2 linked regions of the Diceros bicornis minor genome follow. The protein of the gene in region 1 purifies or fractionates together with the protein of each later gene. This does not show direct contact. Links are inferred from orthologs where the notes say so. Each region holds a gene or a part of one and is shown on either strand. Other genes may lie near its edges.

The links.
Region 2: the proteins of PAG1 (region 1) and FYN purify together in Homo sapiens (co-immunoprecipitation; 3 studies listed by BioGRID and IntAct, with this or other methods). This does not show direct contact. The link is inferred for Diceros bicornis minor from reciprocal best matches to the Homo sapiens genes PAG1 and FYN.

What each region holds. Positions count from the first base shown.
Region 1 is NC_080772.1:31,709,183-31,717,122, forward strand, and holds the start of PAG1 (phosphoprotein associated with glycosphingolipid-enriched microdomains 1), read right to left. Parts: upstream 3,009-7,940; 5' UTR 2,924-3,008; intron 1,084-2,923; 5' UTR 1,014-1,083; intron 1-1,013. UniProt on the Homo sapiens protein: Negatively regulates TCR (T-cell antigen receptor)-mediated signaling in T-cells and FCER1 (high affinity immunoglobulin epsilon receptor)-mediated signaling in mast cells.
Region 2 is NC_080762.1:23,591,323-23,599,318, forward strand, and holds the start of FYN (tyrosine-protein kinase Fyn), read left to right. Parts: upstream 1-4,996; 5' UTR 4,997-5,069; intron 5,070-7,996. UniProt on the Homo sapiens protein: Non-receptor tyrosine-protein kinase that plays a role in many biological processes including regulation of cell growth and survival, cell adhesion, integrin-mediated signaling, cytoskeletal remodeling, cell motility, immune response and axon guidance.

The sequences.
Region 1 (7,940 bases):
TAATGCACTGATTCTTTAGACTAAGTTAACTAACAAGACACAGGCTGTTTTCCAGGATCTGCAGTTATATTTAGAAAGACCTAGAGGGGAACCAGAATGACCCTGAAATTGCTCCCTGCTCTCCTAAGAAGAAAGGGTTACTCTGCCCTGAGAAAGAATTTCTCAACAAGTTGAAGGAAAGATTTCATTAAAAGACAGTGCCCTATTTTACAAGATTCCTTCTGTGAGGAGACTGGGAACATTCAGGCCAGATGTACCCCTTCCTTTCTAGCCTGTAGAGGAACTGGATAATGATATATGATGGATAGGGGTCAGTCAGGTCACAATGCTTGAGGTCTGTAAATCTTTTAAATGGACGGACATAGCACTTCAAAGTCCAGGATTCATTATAAAAATTGATAACCATGTAGTAAACCAACTGCTAAAATCAGATACAGAACATCTTTGTGTTAACCTGTCGTTCATTTCAGTTGGATGATTTTTTTCTGGATTTAGTTCTGTTCAAGGATGACCCAAGGTCATTAAGGAATTTTGATATTATCAGCACAAAATGAGATTACTAATACCACTAATAACAGTAACAGTAAAACACAGCCTCATATATTGTTGTTGGTAGTGGTGGTGAGCACTGCATGGAACTGGAAACTGATGAGGCTATCCGATTATTATCTCCACCTCAAAGATGAGGAAAGAGATGGAGAGGGTAGACATTTTGCCCAATCTCACATAGGTATTACAGGGCAGAGCTAAGGTCGTGCCCATTTACTGACCACAGGGAAACACCATGTTGTAAGGAAGCATGACCACTGGTGTTTCGGTCTCTATGGCAGAAGACCCACGGTTCTAAATTGAAAACTGGACTAGCTAATACCCTTGAGATTGTCCAGTTTCAAAGCTATTTGCCTGCAGTTCTACAACTCAGAGTCCCCAACTAAACTACAGACGCCTGTACAAAGTTAAGGTAAAAGCAAGCTTGAATAAGCGAGAATGTAGAAAAGCAGATAAATGAATACCTTGAAATCCCTCTCTCCGCGCTCTGAAGTTGCACTCAACTGTTGAAATAAGAGAAAGACCTCGTGTTTTCTGGAAAGGAAACACAAGAGGAAACAATTTCAAAATTCTGAACTGAAGTAACACTGCAATAACTAAGGGCAAAATGATTACTTTTTCTTATTAAAATTTTGAGTAATAAAGAAAGCAGCTCACAATTATTTAATTAACCTTTAGTACTTTAATACTATAAAAAAAGAATGTTGAAAAACATAAGTTAAAACTTGCTCTTAAAACAATCACCTACCTATACATTATCCCAAATTTTATATATGGAGGAAAGCAAAAATGATGGCATTAATCACATGTGTTCTCAATGATTAATAATTATGCCCGTGCTTTGTTTTTTACTCATTGCTTCATTCCACCTCTTTCTCCCAGACACTGACGGTAACTATGGGTTAGCACCACACACCTCAAACATGGACCCTTTGAGTTGTGCAAGGTACCCTCGATTGCATACCTCAAGAAGATGACAGCCTTGCCAGAACAAAGATGGCTGGAACAAAACCGTACAGAATTGTGTAATAACTGCTATAATAGACTTAGCCATATTATTTTATGTCTTTACCTTGAAACATGCTATATTTTTGTTAGCATGGTTTTCTATGCTTAAGATAAAACTGTATCACTTACAAAGATCACTTCCTCCGAGAGGATGTGTGATTCAAGTTTGAGGAATGTAATCTCAAATCTAAAACTCTGTTTTTGTAGATTGTGTATCTAAGAAGGCATCTTAAAATATGCTAAGTGGAAGTAAAAAGCGAAAGAATGATCCAACAACTAGACTCAATGTTCTCAGAAAAATTATCCACTGAGGTAAACCAATGCAATTTTTTTTCTTTTTTGGTAAAGATTAAAGGGGAAAAGAAAGTTATTTCTTGGAAAGGAATGAAAAACAAAGCAATGCTAGAAAGACCAAAGAGAAAGAGTAAAGTTGACAACAAGCAGGATTGTGGTCCCTCCATGACCTGCCATGTCAGACTCTCCAGTGGCCAGCAAGATGAGAGCTCCCCAACCCCCATCCCACCTCATGAGGCCCCTGCCCACATGCTCGAAGAGCCTCCTGGATGTGAGCTCCAAGAGAAAAGTGCAGTAGAAGGCGAAGGAGAGTTACATGTCAGGGAAGGAGGAGAGGGGTAAAGACCACATTTGCCAAGAGTCCACTTTCAACAAAGAGAGGCAATGGAAATTCTCTTCTCCTTGCCTTTCACTGGGAAATCCCCCATTCTGAACCACTAAGCATTTCAGCTCAGCAACACTGTGGGTTCTGGAAGGTTTCCACAGCAGCCTGAAAACCCAGCATTTATAAAACCAGGAAGATATATTTCAAGCTCTAAACTACTGCGTCAGAGTCAAGTGTTTGGGATTAGCACCTGTTCAAAAGTGGAGATGTCACTATTTTGAGATGCTGCAAAATCTGTCTAATAAATGCTTACTGATAAACCTCTGTGCTGCACAAAAGCAAAGGTGGTAAGGCCCAGTTCAGGAGACCAACTGACCAATATATATGATATAGAGAGACATAAATAATAACAGAAGTATGCAGAGTGACTACAGTACAGAAAGAGCGTGAGAGCCCCATACACACAGCTCTCTGCAGCTCTTGAGATAAAACCCAAGCCACTTGGCATGGTTTGACAAGCTCCCCGTCATGGCGCCTGCTTATCCTGGCAGCATCATATCTCATCATCTGTCCCATCATCGTCATCTCCCATCCGGCGTTCTCCATGCCTCTGCCACGTTGTTTGTTTGCTTGTTTTTTTTTAAGAGGCTAAACAACTAATATAGAAATGAGTATCTCATAAAGCAGCTGTTTCTAAGCTGGAAACCGTCTGTAGTGTGCTTATTAAGAGTAAGTGGATCCTGGTACCTGGTAGGTAGGTCCTCCAACCTTTCCCAACCTGGGTCCTCAGCCTGTCACATCCTTCTCAATCTTCTCCTTCTTTTACAGACTGGAAGAAGAAATAAACTGTAAACACCAGTGTAAAGTATAGAGCATTAGCATTTTGGGTTGCATAGTTCTTTGTTTTGAGGGACTAGCATTCCCCCCCCAGCTGTGACAACCCAAAATGTCTCCAGATTTTGACAAATGTCCCCTAAAGGGCAAACTCACCCTCGGTTGAGAATCACTGGTCTAAAATGAATGATGACTTATTAAAACATAATAATATTTATAATCTAACTTCCAGAATATGCAAAAAGACAGCAATCTGGATGGGGACCATCCAAAAAGGCACAGATGGGGGAGAAGAGAGGAGGGAAGGCACACGTATTGAGCACCTGCTGTATTCTTGGCCCTGTGTGAGGTCTCATCTAATACTCAGACCTCATGTACCTCCAGAATCAGAATCCTCATTTTTTGTTTTTTTTTTGAGGAAGATTGGTCCTGAGCTAACATCTGTTGCCAAGCTTCCTCCTTTTTTTCCCTTTTTTCTCCCCAAAGCCCCAGTAGATAGTTGTATGTCATAGTCGTACATCCTCTAGTGCTTCTATGTGGGACACTGCCACAGCACAGCTTGACGAGCCGTGCATAGGTCCACACCCAGGATCTGAACCGGTGAACCCCAGGCCGCTGAAGCAGAACACGCGAACCCAACCGCCACACCACTGGGCTGGCCCTCCAGAATCCTCATTTTAGCAGATGACTCACGGGCAAACTCAATTTGAGGAAGAACTGGCTTACATTTGAGCCAAGTTGGCTCAACCTCCACCCTACCAGAAGCCGCAGGCACCCTATAAAAGGTGCCATTGAATAGGTTTCTGAGGTTAGGGACTTCCCTGGGGCTCTGCTTCCTATCCCCCACTTTAAACGGCTCATTTTGGCTTCTTGGTTTCCATCCAGCTGCCTCACGCCCTTGCTCTGTCCGCCTTGCAGCCTTACGATATAGCTAGCAGGCTTCCGATTCCATTTACTAAAGAATGCTGCCCCTCCGAGCCCCTCGCTCGTATTCTCACCCTGTCTGTAGGCAAACGGCATCCCTTAGCTTTCTAAGAGCGAGTTCCAGATAGCCCCCTCCGCTCTCGTTGTCTTCGAGAGGGCAACCAGATACTTAATTCCCTAGATCCAGCCTGCATAATTCCACGTGCTCACATAGATCTATTACCAGGCACTAACGCAAAATATATAGTATTGTCATTGTGGCTTTTAAAGGTTTAGCTTCCTGCAATAATAACTACTCACGGTTTTATATCTTCTGTAATATGAGCAGACTGCTTTCACTCTTGATAGTTAATTTCATAAAACAAGGAAAACAACAGCTGTATCCAACATGACAGAATGAAAGATGAGGTTGAGCCTAATTAATGCAGGCTTTGCTTCAATAACAGCTTTATTCTCAATAAACAGAGTGTGACATTTTCATTAACTCAGATACAAACTCCCGTACAAATACTCGCACATGAAATACTATAAAAATACCAAATTTAGACTCTCTCGCTCTTCTCTTTCAAGACCCAAATGATTTCAGATGCTGGCACTTGTAATAGTTTTATTATGATTACTAATAATTACCAGTTATGAATCTTGCTATTTGCAGGCCGTGTGCTACAAATTCCATACATCCTCGTCTCATGTAATGCTCATGAGAAATCCAAGGGACCTGGACTATTGTTATGCTGGTTCTACAGATGGGGAAACTGAGGCTTGGAAAGGTTAAGTAGCTCAGCCAGTGAGTGGTGGAGCCAAGTTTCAAACCCAAGCGTACTTGACTCCAAGCAGCACCTCATTCACACACATCATTTTTGATAACACACAGGTGTCCCCTAAGAGCGTGCCCATGTATAGTTTTCTCTGTATCCTTGCATCCCTAAGCATATACACAGCCACTACTATTATTAATATTAATATTATATGTGCCTACTTGAATCAAGAAGGTATAAACCAATGGTCTCTAATCCCATAATTGGGAAACATTTGATTCAGACACCCTTGGTTAGACGCAAATATTATCCAGATCTGTGATAATTCTTTTAGCTGTTTCTCACCTAGAATAACTTAATAAGCTAAGCCAGTTTGGCATCACTCTGTTAAACTGGGATATGGTTATAACAAACCTGCTCATCACCATGGGTACCTGAATGCAATCTCTGGTGGGTGGGTGGCCTGGCCTCCAAGAACAGAATCTGTTCTGCCGGCAAGAGAAAATGCTAGCAATGTCCACTCATCTGATCCCTTCCTCCACCAAGGCAGCTGAGCCCTTGGGTCAGTTCAGCAAGTGAACAGAGGAAAGAGAAACAAATTCAAAACCTCCTGTGTGAGTTAAGTACCATGAGACTTCGGACACACCAGTTTACTGCCCACAATTCAGAGATAACAATGTCTGGCCCTGCCTCCTCTGGTGCCCAAGGATAGCATGTGGATGACTTGATGGGCCCAAGGCCCTTGGGTAGGAAGAGCTGAGGTTAATGAACCTATGTCCACATTCACAGCGTTGAGCAACATAAAATCAGGCCAACACACCTGCACATGGCAATTAGAGTTAGGTATGTGGGGCTGATGAAATATTTCTTTTGAAGTTAGTGAGGCCAAAATAAACAAACAACAACAATAACAACAACAAAAGAAGCCTCAGAAACTGATCTTCCCATTCCCCACCCCCATCTGTAAAATAGAAACAGAAACCTCTTGTTTTTAAGTAAAAATTGCAGGGCAATCTTTTCGGTTTCCCAGATTTTAAAAGGAACAAAAGCTGTAAGAAAATAAATATTCTAAGGCCCACGCTAAATTCATAAGCTTTTTACTTTAATATGTTCTGCATCTGGATGAATATTTATCACTCACTATTTATTACTGCCTCAATATTTATTACTGTCTCTATGCCTATTTCTCTCTCTGTCTTAGGTTGTCAAGTCTGATAAGGCAGGGACCAAATCTATTTAGTCCTTTTTGTAAAGCATGTGAAACTGTTATGCATAATTAGGCACTTAAAGGGTTTTTGATGAAGATGATTATGAAGAATCAGAATAGTTAATACCATGGTGGCATGTTTCCTGGAACCTTCCTGTCTTTCTGAAATATCAGATGAGCAGACTCGCATAGAATGGTAGAGCTAATGGAAGCTTGGGCCTAGAGATCATGAAGAGCTGGCTAAACCTGTGGTCTGTGGCCGGGCAGCATCAGCGTCATCCAGAAGTTTGTTAGAAAGGCAAATCTCGGGCACCACCCAGACCTACTCAATCAGAATCTGCAGGTGAACAGGATGCCCAGGCGATCTGTAGGCACATCAAGGTCTGAGAAGCACAGACTAGAGAACCATCTAGTTCAAGGACTTCAGAAGAACTGTGGCTTGTACCTTCTGACCTCAAATTTCCACCTCCTCTTGCTCCTTCAGGAATATTCCTCCTTAAATTATTCTTCGGTGGGTCTCCAGAATTAAACTGCAAATCAGTAACAATCGCCAGCTTGCCAAGAACACCGGTCGTTTCTGTTTGCCAGAGAGGCCTTTATTCTTTCAACATCTTGAATACACACACAAGATGCTGGAAATAGAAATCCAGAAACCCATCTTCCAGTAGCGGGCTTGCTCACTACACACAGCCAAAGAGGAGAGACCACACCGTGATGGTGTGTGGAACCGGACACCACGACTCTTGGCTGAGACCTGGATCCCACATTTTGCACATTTCAGGCCCAGTGACGCAGCCCAGGCTGCCCGTCACCTTTCATTTCTATTTCCTACTTTCACTAAATGCTCCTAAGTCCTGACTCACACACGGCTCTGCCCTGGAGTTCTAGAGTCCCACCAGATGAACATAATTCAAACCTTTAAGGATATGCATTCCAAGAAGAAGAAAAAAACAGAACTATTTGAAAACTCTTAAAAACGTCTTTGAATTGCTGTTGATATGCTGGTTTGTCACTGCATCTTTTAAACCAGTTCCCTCCACGACTTCCCTGCCCAGCCATATTATAGACTTCCTATACAGATTAGGAGTCATCGATTTGTAATTAGAAGAATTTTATTTGGGTTTTTCCCCTAGACTTCAGCCACAAAATGTAGTTAGTAAAGAACGTTCAATGATATTCAAATTCCATCACTGTTGTGTCACTTGTATTTTCCAAAAGGCTGAAAAGGACTGATGTGCATCTTAATCAGGTCTGCATATGGCAGACATCTGTCTTGACTCATATTTGAATACCAGCTGGTACCCTCCCAAGATATGGTCACTTTTCTGGAAAAAATATTAATTTCTCCAGGTATGAAAAGATTGGCTATACTTGTTCCCACAACCGTACGTTTTTTCCTGCACATTTAGAAATCAGAAAGGAATTTGTTGGACATTAAAAGAAAAGCACTGCAATGAAGAAAGGATGTTTTAAGAACACAAAAGATTAATTGAGGCAATAATTCTAGGTTTGGCGTAAAAGTTTGAAAGAATGTTGAAAATTTTGCTGAAAGCACATTGTTTAGATTAGCTAGAGACAAAGACTGACCTATGTTGTGGGTACCACTTCCTAAACAAACCTTGAGAGAGCACCGTATCAGAGAGAGCCAGAAGGGCACAGACTTACTCTAGAGCACTCTCCTCTGCCTCAAGGCAACATCCGTTATAAGAGAACGTCAGCCCATCTTTTGGGGGTACAAAGTACCTCAGAAAAGATCAGAAAAGATGAAGAAAAAAAAGGACGAGGAGAAGATACTGCTGAACGGCACATCCCAGGAAGCCTACCATGAATTGGCTGAAGTATCAGGTTTTAGGAAAACTTCACTGCATCTTTGGGGTTGTGTTAAATCGCCTATTAAGCACTTAGAACAGGGCCTACCTGGCGTATAGTAAGTGGAAAGTAAAATCTGCCAGCACTGGATTCACATTACCAAATTCTCAAAAAGCAGCAACTGAATGAAATTATTTAGCTGCTGCCCTTTAGATGAGGCATGAACTCCCTG
Region 2 (7,996 bases), on another chromosome or scaffold:
GGTGGGACTTTCTAGTGGCTCAGCCACACAGGAGGAGTCCCAAGTACCATCACTGCGTAGAGTGGAGCCAGGAAATAGGTAAGAGTGAGTAGGTAAGAAAGGGCCAGAGTGGGAGGTACAGCTAGTTGGGATGTAAAAGAAAGGAACAGGCCATCTTATGACAAGAAAGTCTCCCTTGTTAGACTCCCACAAGGGTTCCTATAGGAGATCTGTTGGAAGATTACTAGTCACGTGTCATTTAATGATGGGGATACGTTCTGAGAAAAGCATCGTTAGGCGATTTCCTTGTTGTGCAAACACCATCGAGTGTACTTACACAAACCTAGATGGTGTAACCTACTACACACCTAGACTGTATGGTACTAATATTATGGGACCACCATTGTACATGCGGTCCATCATTGACCAAAATGTCATTATGCAGCACATGACTGTATATGAAATTAAATTTGTTTCCATTTAGACCCTCAAGGTTGACTAATTCCTATTTCCCAACACTTGAACCACACCAGGTAATAATCCAGCAAAGAAAGGAAAAAGTTTAAAAATATTTATTGTTTCTTCTGTTAAAAAATAATAAGTACCCAATGCAAAAAGTCCAGAAAATTAAGAAAAGGATAAAAAATAAAGATGACCTATAATCTGATAACTTGGAGAAAATCACTGTTAAAACTTTTGTATACGTACTTGCATACTTTTCAATGAAAATTTACATATATAAAGTTTAAAAACAATGGAATATATGTATAAACATAAATACATGTATATATACACACATACTTACTAATTTGTTGTTCAACTTCTGTCCCTTAAAATTTATTGTGAAAATCTTTCCAGAAGAAACAATAAAACTCTTTAAGCTTTTTCCTTCCTTTGCTGCTTTAATTTTCCCTTTTCTCTTCCTCTTCCTCTTCTCTGCCGTTTTTCTTCCCTTTTGAAGAAGACTTGCCGCAGAGGTGGTATCCAGAGAGGCTCCTGGCCAGGGCTGGGAGGGTTGAAGGCCTTCTGCTCCCATCCACCAAATCCCTTATTAATGGACTTTCCTCAATTTTTCATGTTATAAACAATGTTCCAATTACTTGCATCATAGGTATATCTTTGCAAACTTCTTCCATTCTTTCCCAGAAGTAGAATTGCTGGGTCAAAGGTATATACTTTAAGGCTTTTCATAAATGTTATTAAATTGTCTTCCAGAAGGGTTACACTAATTAACACTCCCACTAGTAGAATGTGGGTATCCATTTCCCTACATCCTTTTATGTCTTTGGCCAACTAGGTAGTTGGAAAAACTATATCTTTACATTAATTTTGTTACAAGTGAAGCTGAATCTCTTTTCACATTTACTGGTCATGTGGGGATGTATTTCCTTTACACGTGTTTTTCAACTGGAGTCTTCATCTTTATTTTCTTGTTGATTTTTAAGAACTCTATGTTAAGGATTCTTACCCTTGCCATATGTGGTGTTATTGAATTGACATTTAAGAGAAGATTAAAACTAAAATGTAATAATAAGGCAAGAAAATATTTTAACTCATACAAACAAGGAAAATGTTACATTAAAAGCAAGAGAATAAGAAATTCAGTTGAGACAAAATAAAGAAAGCCCAGATGGAAATAGGAAAATTTAAGGTGAAAGAAATAGAAAAATAAAAATAACCATTACTAGTCAAATCAAAGAGAAATTCTAGAACAATGCCTACCTTCTAATTTGTACATTTAACCTGTCCATAAGAAAATAAAACAAAATTGGGGGGATGTAGAGGACAATATGACTTATCTCAAGGAGTCCAGGGACAGTGTCCTGGATCTTTAATCAAGGTCTCTGTACAGACCTGCATAGCAGATCAAAATGGGGAAGAGTGTCCAAATCTTTCACAGTACTCTGTACACTTGTTCAGACCATTAGCAAATCCTCCCGAGGAGGCCAAATCCATTTAAAGCTACATTTAAGAAGGGCAACAGATAAAAAGGTAAGCAAGGAAAGAATTACAAAAACAGGATGAAGTCTTGATGGGAGCAGGTTAATCTGTCATTTTAATTGCATTGTCTCTTCTTTTTGCCCACTAATTAGATCAAGAAGCTATTAGAGTTACAGACGCTAAAAAGTGACTCCTCTTGAAGAAACCATAAGCAGTGAGGTGCCTTACCTAACCTACTCCAGATATCATGTAAGATAAATTCCGTCTAACACGGAATTCCGAGGAGGTCTATATCTTAAGAGCGGTTTTTCTGAGAGTACATGACAGTTTATCTTTAAAAAGGAGGAAGGCATGCATAAATTGCTTCCATGTCCATTTAGTCTTCACACAAGTAGTGTGAGATCAGTTTTACTATATCTCCATTTTATGTGTGAGAACAGTAAAGTCCAGAAAGGGTAAGAGATTTGCTGCATCAAGGTGCTCTCAACAGTGTGCACTGTGGAGCTGGAATCAGAAACAACTCTAGACCAGTGTTATCCAATAGAAATATAATGTGAGCCACATATGCTATTTTAAATTCTCTAGCTACATTAAAAATTAAAAGAAATAGGTGATTAACTTTAATAATATATTTTAGTTATCACAATACATTGACTGTTATCATCTTAACATGTAATCAACATAAAAGTTAATGAGATGTTTTACATTTCTTTTTTTCATGGTAAATCTTTGAAATCCAATAAATCTTTTGCATTTACAGCCAATCTCAATTTGCACTAGCCACATTTCAAATACTCAACTACATTTCAAGTACTTAATAGCCATGTGTGACTAGTGGCTACTACACTGGACAGCCTGGTTCCAAACCAGTGGTTCTCAAGGTTTTGGTGGTACCCAGACCAGCCGCTTCAGCATCACCTGGGAACTGTTAGAAGTGCAAATTCTTGGGCCCCATCCCAAACCTAATGAATTAGACACTCTGGGGCTGGGGGCCACCAATCAGTGTTTTACAAGTTCCTTCTGGTAATTCCGATACATGCTAAAGTCTGAGAATCATTGCTCTAGACAAGAGCCTTTCCATCTCAATTCAAATAAACTTAGGACAGCCATGGCAGGCTAGTACTGAAGAAGACGACCCCCTTCGCTTGAGATAAACAATTCTTGACTAGATGAAGTTGACATTCTCTTCTATGGAAATCTTCTAGTCCTAGTTGTGGTTCTATTTCTTGGGACTATGTTCATTTATCATTTTGCTTAAGGAGGAAAAAAGCCACAGTAACTACCCTATACTATCACATTGAGTTTTAGTTACTAACTTCTCTTGTCCTCAGTTTCCTCATCCATAAAAATGAGCATCGTTTAATGAATGTTAGCAATTAAAAAAAAAGTACTGTGTGCAAAAATAAAAAAGTCAGCAAAAGTGACTGATATTTTTAAACTACAGTTAAAACAATTAGTTGGCAGGAAAAGTAATATAGATTTTGAGCATAGAAGCAGAAGCCAACTTGCTTATATTTCTCAGAACATTAGGCTTGCTGGGGGAGGAGGGTAGGGTTCGTGCCAAAATCATTAAGGAGAACTAATCTGAGCATGCCTTAAAGCAGAACTTTCAGTAAACAGGAATTACCTATAAAGAAAATCAGGAAGCCAAAGTGTTTCTTTTTATGAAGTTACATCCTGCCATAGAAAAGCTGGATAGGAAATAAAGACTGATGCACTCCCAACTGTATACTAAACTGGCTATTATTTCACTAAGGAAAATCTGAGCAAAAGCTCAGATTCAGTGAAAGGAAGAAACATGAGAAGGCTGAGTGTCATGAGAAACCAATGACAACCAATGGCTACAATTAAACATGATTTTGGAAAAAACTATACAAACAAATCTCTGTTCTATGATTGCAGATTCCTTAGTGGCCGCCTGTCCTCTCCAACTTCTTCCTCCCATTTCAGTAACACTTGCTCCAGACTTTTGCTTGAAAATAATTATATATGTGTGTGTGTGTCCACAAAAATAGGAGACTAGTAAACTAATCCTAATTTTCTCCTCTTCTCCCTCCTCTGCTTTTTCTCTTCCTCCTCCTCCTCCTTATTATTATTAATAATATTAATCGTGCGTTTCCAGGGTTCTCTTAACTTTCCCAGGTTTCTGAGATGGCATTCTACCTTGCTCCGCAATCTTCAGTTTATCAGAGAAAACGTTTTCACCACCCTAACACTTTCCCTATTTCTCCTCCCACTGTCAGACACCAGAAAGGCAAGAGAGCCCTTTCTCGAGGCAGGTTCCCATGGTTTGGGGAGAATGGCAGATGCCTTTCTGCAGTGGCAGCTGCAACCTTCTGCAAAGCAGAAACTGCAGCTCATATTCTCTCCTCCTTCCCTCGCCCGAACCCACTACCTCACAAGTCCATACAATCCTCAAAAACACACACACAACTCCTCCAACCTCGCATCCCCTCTCACACCCTACACGGGCACGCGGGCCAGGATGCCCGCTGCTACAGCAACGCTCAGCCCACTCGGTGGCCCCACCCATTGCAGCCCCGCCCCCGTCCCAGACACCAATGGTCACCGCCCACAGCTCCCGAGGGGCCCGTTGATAGGGCAGCGGGGCCTGCCACTCTCAGGGTGCGTCCCGCCCCCTCCTCACTCTCCGCCGGGCTGGAGGGGCTGGAGCATCAGCGCGAGTAGCTGCGAGCAGCCGCGGCGGCGGCGGCGTGTCGTTGCAGTTGCGCCATCTGTCAGGAGCGGAGCCGGCGGGGAGGGGGCTGCCGCGGGAGAGGAGGAGGGGTCGCCGCGAGCCGGAGGCCGTTGAGACCCGCCCGCCGGCTGGCCGCGGGAGCAGAGGCGAGGCTACCTCGGAGCTCCGCGTCCTCTGCCGTCCCGGCGCGCGGCGCTTCACCGCGCGCACGGAGGGCTCCTCGGGCGCACACAAAGCCGCCGCCCGCGCTGCACCGCCCGGCGGCCGCCGCCCGCGCCAGGGAGGGATCCGGCCGCCGGGCCGGGGACACCCGGCGCCGCCCCTTCGGCGCTCTCGGAAGGCCCACCGGCTCCCGGGCCCGCCGAGGAGCCACTGGAGCCGCCTCAGCCGCGCCGGAGCAGGGCGGGGAGAGGACCATGTGAATGGGCTCCGGAGCCTGAGCGCCGTGCAGGTAAGCGGCCGGGGATGCGTCGCGGGAGGCCTCGGGGATGCTGCGGAGACGCGGGCCGCCGCCCCCGCCGCGGGGCCCCGCGCTGCAGTCTCTGGGCCGCCGCCGCCTCCAGGGCGCCCCGCGGGGCTGCCGGGGAGTTGGCCGCGCTCGGAGTCTTCCCGCGGCCGGGCTGGAGGACACCTCTGCGCGGTGCGGCCCGGAGGTAGCGCAGGGATGGGGACCCATTTCCTCGGCCGCGAGCGGGCGCGGGATGAGAATGGGAATTGGCTTGGGGGCGAGGCTGCCCCAGACTCCGCCCCCGCCCTCCTTTCGGGGCCCCCCGCGGGGACCCGGGCTGTGTGTGTTGTTTTAATGTCAGGGATGATGTAATCACTTAATAATTGATGCCCCGTGCTGCTTCCCTCCCCACCGCACCCCACCCCTGCCCCACTCCTCCACCTCTCGGCCTCCTTCTGCGGCCGTCGCCTTCCCCATTGCATCCTCCTGCCTATTTCTGGCACCTCCCTTGCACTTCCCCCATCCTCCCCTTCACTCTTCCTGTGCCTCCACCCACCCACCCTTCCCCTGTCCCCCGTGCAGGAGCCTTCGCTCCTCTTCCTCTGCCCCCCACCCCTTCTGCTCCCTCAGGCTCCTTTCTCCTCCCTTCCCTGCTCGCTGGATTTCCTCTCTACTTCCCTAGATCGATGACTGTTTTTGTTTGGTCGCCTCCCCTCTCTTATCTCTGCGGCCACAGGCGGAGGGGACTGGGCCAGAAAGAAGCCACCGAGCTTGGGCCCAGGCGGAGATTTGCTGGGACTCAGTGAGAAGAGGGATAATAAAATCACCCTTCTTGCCCCTCCCCCCATAAATCACACAGACTCGCCGTGTGTGTGTGTGTGTGTGTGTGTGTGTGTGTGACACAAAGAGCCCTTTCAGTGCATAGAGAGGAGACACACAAAGTACCCAAGGATGGGCGCTGTGCTTCTTGTTTCTCTTCCCTGCGTTTTCCCTTTCTCTCAGATATAGCAGTTGATCTTCTCTCTCAGAATCTTTCCTGCCACATTTACCAAAAAATAAAAGGCCCCAGATGCGGGGTGGCAGGTGCTGGCATTTTGCTGTATTCATGGACTGGTAGTGTTGACTGGTAGCTGCAGTGTTCCTTAGATTTAAGGGGGAAATGATTCTAGCTGTCATAAGAGTTGCTTTACTTTCAAGGTAGTCTCCACTCCGCCCAGTTTTAACCCCCTCTCCTTTCAGGGATAGATACTAAGAGCTGAGGTAGGGTACATTGGTGTGGGAGCAGAAGAATTTTGTTTCTGAATCAGCGAATTAAATTGGTGTTTGATAGGAGTGAGGCAGCCTGACTCGCTTCTCTCAAGTCTAAGGACTGCTCAAGTCTTTTGAAATGAATTGTCAGCCCAGTGATGTTGTTTTGCCCTTATATTTAAACAAGTTCCTGGGTGCATTGATAATACATCATTAAATTGGTATTTGGAAGACCACTGGAGACGGTTTCTCTTCCCTGCTTCAGGGTAGGCTTCAGACACCCACATCCTTTCCTCTCACCGCTCAAGTGACTGCAATATTTTCCACCCTTTGTGCATTTTTCCCCAGTCCCTGCCCCATGGGTACTCTGCTTTCAGTTAAAGAGACTCATAGATTTTTGGAGGAAGTGATTTGTTAGCCATCTCAGGTTTTAGGGGCACTTAGCTGTGAGCAAACGATATACACGATCTTTTGACTGAACTCTTAAACCATCTGCTTGATGTTCCTCTTAAAGAGGAAATGTTAATGTAATTCTGGGGCCTAATGTTCCATTTTGCAAGCCAGTGACTATTACATGTTTAATCGATAATGTCAAAACTTAGGACAAAGGTTGAAGTCATTGATTCTTAAGAGCGTGGCTCCTTGACTACGATAAGTAGTAATAGAACCGTCTCAAGTTTGTTCTTCAAGAATTTTATTAGAAAAGAGTTGTTATGATTCATTAAACGTTTACTTTTGCACTTTCTAAGGACATTCATCATGGAACATTTTATATTAAAAAAAGCGATAGGGTTGATGAGTGTACTGTAAAAACAAAGGGTTGTTTGTTTGATGCCAGACCCAAGATAGGAAAGTCAGTGCACGATAAACTCATGTTGACCAAGTTAAAGAGACATAATGATAAGGTTGAATGTGAACAAATGCACACTCTGCTTTCTGTACCTTTACCCTATGCTTTCTCTGGGTCTGGAATCTCCAACCCCGTCTGATTTGCTTGGGTCCTATTTAACCTTTAGGGCCCAGCTCAAAAGTCTTCTCTGTGATGCTTTCTCCACCCTTTCCCCTCCAAACAAATTACCATGCCTCTGACTTTGTTTTCCAACTTCAGCAGCAGGCCTTGTTTGGCTTGTGTCTGTTTCCATCATTAGTTGGTCAGCACGTTGAGAGAAGGAACCTGGGCTTATTTATCTTGTTTTCACAAATGTGACTTAGGTCCTTGGTATGTGCTAGGCTCCTAGATTAATGAGGCTAATGTTAGAAGCTGTAACAAATAGGCCTGCAAAAATCTAATGGCTCAAAAGCAAAAGAGGTTTATTATTCCTCATGTAATAGTCCAGAATGGGTATTTCTGGTCAGTGGGTGGCCTTCCTCCATGCAGTGATTCTGGGCCCCATGCTCCACCATCCCATAGCACTCCATTTTAACCAGCTTTCAGCTGGCAGAAGGACAAAAGAGGGAGTGGAGGGGTGCACCCACTTTTTAAATGCCTTGGCCTGGAAATGACACCTGTCACTTCCACTTACATCCTTTACATGAGGGCTAGTTATATGGCCACATTTAACTGCAAGGGAGCCTGGGAAATATAGTTTAGCCATGTGACCAGAAAAAAGGTCAAGAAGAAATGTATTTTTGGCCAGCAGCTTTGCCTTATGCTGCCACTCAACGAGGCACAGTCATTGCCC